Linked DNA regions of Kluyveromyces lactis. The protein of the gene in region 1 interacts with the protein of each later gene in a biochemical or structural test. Links are inferred from orthologs where the notes say so. Each region holds a gene or a part of one and is shown on either strand. Other genes may lie near its edges. The genes, in order: VID24 and FBP1.

The links.
Region 2: of the proteins of VID24 (region 1) and FBP1, one has a biochemical effect on the other in vitro, tested with the Saccharomyces cerevisiae proteins (2 studies listed by BioGRID). The link is inferred for Kluyveromyces lactis from reciprocal best matches to the Saccharomyces cerevisiae genes VID24 and FBP1.

The regions. Positions count from the first base shown.
Region 1 is NC_006038.1:832,957-836,201, forward strand, and holds VID24 (glucose-induced degradation complex subunit VID24), read left to right. Parts: upstream 1-1,457; coding exon 1,458-2,459; downstream 2,460-3,245. Other genes in the region: SND3 (Snd3p), read right to left, coding at 1-199. UniProt on the Saccharomyces cerevisiae protein: Substrate-recognition component of the GID E3 ligase complex recruiting N termini and catalyzing ubiquitination of proteins targeted for degradation.
Region 2 is NC_006041.1:124,913-128,054, forward strand, and holds FBP1 (fructose 1,6-bisphosphate 1-phosphatase), read left to right. Parts: upstream 1-1,367; coding exon 1,368-2,435; downstream 2,436-3,142. Other genes in the region: PBP4 (Pbp4p), read right to left, coding at 1-315; 1-acylglycerol-3-phosphate O-acyltransferase SLC1, read right to left, coding at 2,632-3,142.

The DNA.
Region 1 (3,245 bases):
CCACGTATTTCAAAGTGGCCAAATCGTTCTTCTTAACGATTTGAGCTCTAGCGTATTGGTAGATGGACCAAGTGATGGCAACAGAAGCGACATAAGCGATACGGATGTACAACACGATCGAAGGATCCTCCATATCCAAACGACGAGATACTTGCATCATGATCAACATGATGACTAGGTTACTGATTTGAGCATTCATGGTGGTGGTTAGAGAGTTACAGCTGGGATTGGCTTGGTAAGAAAGAGCACTTCTCTTCTAACTATGAATTGCTTATCGACGGCAGATTCCAGTGGACAAAGGACAACTAACTAACTAATTATTAGAAAAGGCATACATAAATCAGTAAGTATATAAAGTTGAAAAAGAGTAGTTCCGATAATACGTGCAACAAGTAGTAGTGCATCATTTAATAGATACGTATGTGAAAAGATGGTATACAGATTTTATTTTAAATTCCAGTCTGAATGTGGAAGAAGTGACGAGAAAATCTTTTGACGATGAGAGAGATACCCATTGTGTTACCCGGAATAACGTTGAACGGTGGCGAAAATACAAATATAGCAAATATACATATATCCGGGTAACATAAGCGGGCGCGTTATAACAGTAATCACGTGACTAGAAGAGCCACACTTTTTTGACAGCATACACCGAGCGTAGAGAAAGAAAGAGTTAGCTGCGCTAAGTTGTTACCCGCACCTCGGAACAAACCGGATCGGGCTATGTCTGTGAATGTTCCTTTCCCCTGTAGCAACATTCTCTCGTATTTCTTTTTGTGAACTTTGGTCCTTCTTTGATTCTTCCTCCGCCATTTCGTTGGGTACCTCTCTGTTCCAACTTGGTGCCGGAAAAAAAGAAAATCCAAAACGAAAGGTTTTTCCGGGTATTTTGCCCAGAAACCGGTGCACAGTCTCTTCGATATTTCCCCCCGTTTCTTTTCCTTCAACACCAGACTCGCACCTCGATCATAATTCACTCCTGAACACATTTACTCTCTTTTTACTTTTTTCCATTATGTGTCACTCCTTTCACCTATGCAGCCATTTTACTTCTGTCTCTGCCTTGTTCATTGGTTTTTCCCAGTCCAGTTGATAGGATAGAGTCATGGTTGGAACTGGAAATCTTCCTCTTCCGCGTGTTTCATTGTCGGTTTCTTTGCCGTGTTTTATTTCTTTTCCTTTTATCTCTTTTTCTTATTTCTTTATCGATGTCGATCTGGTCTTCGCTTTTTAAAGGTGGCCTGGTGATGCTTTTTATATTACCTTCTTGATTGAGATAGTTATTATTATTATTATTACTATATATATGTATATATACCGAGTGGTTATTGTTGGACGTATTAATCTGTTCGCTGCTTCATCGCAGATTGCCTTTGTCAAGTGAGTTAGTTACTTGCTTTAGAAAACTAGTTACAACTTACAAGTTGTAAGGCAAGATACATTCATACATTTTACAGATGATCAACGAAGATACACGTTCGCATAGCTCTGGGTTGGAGACGCAACTCGCCAAGGCGAGTAGCTCGTCTCCATATAAGGGTCAGGGTCAGACCCAGGAACAACAGCAACAGCAACAGCAACAGCAAAAACAGCAATCACCTATAGCATTCCCTGCGCCTTTGACTCCTTTTTTCCATAGAAACCCATATTTCAGGAACACTTCGCTGCACAGAACTGGGTCTCACGATTCTATCAATTCGATACGGCGTTCGCATGAAAACTTTCAAGATTCGGAGGATTACGATATCCAGGACTCATGCTCACCATCTTTGAACTCGCCTCCTAGATCGAGACCTCAGACTCCCAAGAACCACGAAAGAACTCATTGGCTAGGGGCTAGAAAACGGTTTGTTGGGTACCAACTCTCGGGATACAAGAAGTTCCAAGTCATGATCACTATCCAATCTGTTTCTTTACCAAATGATAACGAATCCAACTGTTGCTCGCCTCATTTGACTGGATTCCTCTCTATAAAGGGTCTCACGGTACAAAATCCCGAGATCACCACTTTCTTCGAATCCATCACCGTAACGGATTCTCTAGGGTTTCTATCCAAAGATATCCCAATAGATTATGCGTCCTATAAGGCCTCGGACCAGACTGATTTGGAGCATTGGTTGAATTTCCCATCTTTCAAAGAACTTTGCATGCAAAACGATCCAAAGTATCCTTCTAAGAATATTCTACAATCTATCATCGATGGTACTTACTCACATACCGATTACTTGAATCAAAGGTTCCTTTACATGAGGTGGAATGAGAAATTCCTGGTGCCTGATGCCGATTTGGAATCAATAGATGGTGCATCTTACGACGGCTACTACTACATAGTACACGATCAATTACTTGGTAACATTCTGGGGTTCTACTACCATGAACATGCTGAAAGATTTCAACAGTTAGAATTGCAACCTTTACAAGAACCATCAATCGGAGATTGTTCATTCGAATTTGCATAATTAAATGACATTAAAATAAATAAAACCACATCTTTCATGGGGTGTTTTATTTTCATTCTTTTTTTCTGTCTCTTCTAATTTACCAAGTTCCTTGCTCCACTCATTTACTTCAAATTTCAGTTCAAGTTTACTTCTACACCACATTACATTAATTCAGTTAATATTCTAATACCAATTTACGCTTTCACTTTTCATTTCTACCTAATCACGTCTCTAATGTCATATAAATAATGGGATATACATCGTTACAATTTACTGCTCGATTTGTTTCTCCTAGAAACCGAACGTCATGAAAAAAAAAAAAGAGGCCCTCGATGAGGATGAAGAAGGGGCAAAAAAATAACAGCTCGCACTCAGGATCGAACTAAGGACCAACAGATTTGCAATCTGCTGCGCTACCACTGCGCCATACGAGCTGGTTTCTTGCACAAATGTTTTACTTTCAGTTCATATCGGGATTTGTGAACCATTGCAAAGAACCATGTCACGTGCTGCTTACTCATCACAGTCTTTATTCACCTTAAACTTGGCCTCCAAACATTCTGAATATCTAACGATTCTTCTTTGATGCCAAAGTAATTCAAGGTTACCCACTCCATTCACTGAATTCATAGTTTTGTACTGTCTTCTCAACTCGTCTTTCAGTTTTTTGCCCTCTATCCTCTTAGTCACTCGGCTTAAACATTTCGGAAACTTTATAATTCGATATTTCACTTCTAACCAACATATAAAGAAATACTGAAATACTGAACTGCGATACTCCTTCCAACGTTTGATTGATATTTT
Region 2 (3,142 bases), on another chromosome or scaffold:
TGACCTAGAGTACTGTTCGAATTGTGATATCAGGAACTGTTTCACTTCATCGTGGTTGAACGGTGGTTTAGAATGAACATATGATGCTTGGTTCGTTTGGGAATTCTGCCCATTGCTGTTGTTATTTTTTTTCTTGTTACTGCGTGAGTCCTGCGAAGAGATACTACTTCTACTGGTATTTTCACTTGTTACTGGAGTAGGAATGGCTGAAGCAGAAGTGGGAGAAGCGGTCGTATATGCCATACTTTTTTTTTTCAACGCAGAGCTTTCACTTCCCCAAGCACCAAGTTTCTTACTTTGCCAAGCATTAGCCATTGTTAAGCAGTGTATAGGAAAACCGGATGGATAATTCTATTTATTCCCAACGGAAAAGTACGTTACCAGACGGCGAAAGAGAGATCCTATGGAAATACAATCGTGTACACAAGGAACGATTTGATGGAGCTTACTTCCGCTCTACCTTGACGATTGTTACAACTGATCAAAGGAATATGCCGAAATCGCTTCTTCATGTTAGATTTTCTTATTGCAGTAGACCAGAACACGTGACCCGAATTTTTGGACGGATCTCAGTTACTTTTCACGAGATATCCGGGTAATATCACGGTATTTAAATCTACTTGTCAAACACCCATCAACCACACATACATAAATTCTCCCGGTCGCCCCTCTGGTTCCCCCCCACTACCGATACAGCACTGGCAGAAATTGGAAAACCAAAGACGAAAACATGTTCCCGGAGCTCCAATGAACCCACACATCACGATATATGACCCCAGATTCATTTAATTTGAAGATCAATAAAACCTTTTTTTTTATTTTCCCTCTCAGTGTTATGAGCAAAATCACCTTAAATCGCTACAGAAAACACATAATCAAATAGTACTTGCAAATCATGTTCTGTTTCAAGTGACTAGGAAATGCCTTAGCACACTACGTGCCATACTGCGTCCATAGCGAGCTTTTCTCATTCTGTTTTTCTTTTGTTTCCTTCGCGCCAGAAATGGTGCGGTTCTTGCGATTTTTCAAAGCTAGAAGAAATTCAGAGACCAGATAATCGATATCAGACAGAGTAATGAACTGGCTTCGTTGGTTTCTTCGGGGGTAGAATTTTCCGAATTAATCCGTTGCGTTGTCCGCTACTTGCGTATGGATGTAAGTCGTGTATATTGTCTGTTTGATCCTTATTTTAGTGTATATAAATTGGATTCAAACCAGTTTTATGATTTCGATCCTCTTCAGCACTTTATGACTTATTATTGGATTCGAGCATTAGTTTCAAATTAAAGGCATAATCAAGTAGAAAGAAGACTATTCAATTCATTTCCCTTCCGAAGCTTCGCATATCCCGATTAAATAATTAATAAATGGCTGGTATTAAACACAGAAGAGACTCAGCTGAGTCTATCAATACCGACATCATCACGTTGTCCCGTTTTATCTTGGACCAACAGCATCTTTCTGCGAAAAATGCCACTGGGGAGTTTTCTATGCTTTTGAACTCTTTGCAGTTTGCATTTAAATTTATTTCTCAAACAATTAGACGTGCTGAATTGGTTAACTTGATCGGATTGGCTGGTGCTTCAAATAGTACCGGTGACCAGCAAAAGAAGTTGGATGTGTTGGGTGATGAAATCTTCATCAATGCTATGAAAGCGTCTGGTAACGTCAAGGTACTTGTGTCTGAAGAACAAGAAGATTTGATCGTTTTCCGTAACAGCCCTGGTAAATACGCGGTATGTTGTGACCCAATTGATGGTTCGTCTAACTTGGATGCTGGTGTCTCAGTGGGTACCATTGTCTCTCTGTTCAAGATTCATGAGAATCAGAATGGTAACTCTGGGGAAGAAGATAGTGAGGGTACCATCAACGATGTTGCTCGTTGCGGTAGAGAAATGGTTGCTGCTTGTTACACTATGTACGGTGCGTCCACGCATTTGGTTTTAACTACCGGTGCAGGTGTCAATGGGTTCACTTTGGACAATAACTTGGGTGAATTTATCTTGACTTACCCAGAATTGAGACTACCTGAGCAAAAATCTATTTACTCCATCAATGAGGGGAACACCTGCTATTGGGAACCAACTATCGCTGATTTCATTGCCAAGTTGAAGGAAAACAGCGAAGAAAATAACGGTAAGCCTTACTCTGCTCGTTACATCGGTTCAATGGTCGCTGACGTACACAGAACTTTACTATATGGTGGTTTATTCTCTTACCCAGGTGATAAGAAAAATCCTAACGGGAAGTTAAGATTGTTATATGAAGCATTCCCAATGGCTTTCCTTGTTGAACAAGCTGGTGGTAAAGCCGTTAATGATAGAGGTGAACGTATCTTGGATTTGGTCCCTCAACATATTCACGACAAAAGCAGTATCTGGTTAGGTAGCTCTGGAGACGTTGATAAATATTTAAAGCATATCGGTAAGTTGTAAATACGTATACGAACCTCCCATCAACAGAAGAAAATTAAGTAACATAATAATTCATGAAATACCACATTAAAAATAAATTAATAACCGACCTTGAATAACTATTTCACGATTCCAGTATTTACATTTATCATACATTCTCTTGTATTATAGAAAGTACTGTTAAATATAAAAAGTAAGAATCTCTTATTTATATTCTCTAAATAACTTCTTTGAGTAAACTACTACGTTCAGTGGGTTCTGGATTGGTCACAACAGTCCCATTAGAGTGAATAGAAGAACGGTCCAGGTCAACTATTTCCTCTTCGTAATCATCTGCAGTCAAACGATGCTGATCTTCAAAACGTCTGGCAGAGTTATACGCGATCACATCTGCAGGTAAAACGGTATCCACGATGGCTTCGGAGTATCCAATATTTTTCAGCTCGTCGTTCATCAACTTGTGAACACGGTTACATAGATCACCTACGTCTTCTTTCTTCAAATTTTCCGTGCTAATTGGCTCAAGAACCTTGACTGTTATGGTACCCCTGTTAAAGACTCCAGACCTGGGGTGATAGATGGAACTAGTGTTTGATACAACAACAGGGATTATCTGTATTTTCCCCTGTTGCGCCAAATGGAAAGCACCTTTCTTAAATGCTGATAGTTCTAGCTTTGTAGAATAAGATCTAGTTCCCTCAGGGAAAATCCAGAGGGCCCTTTTATCC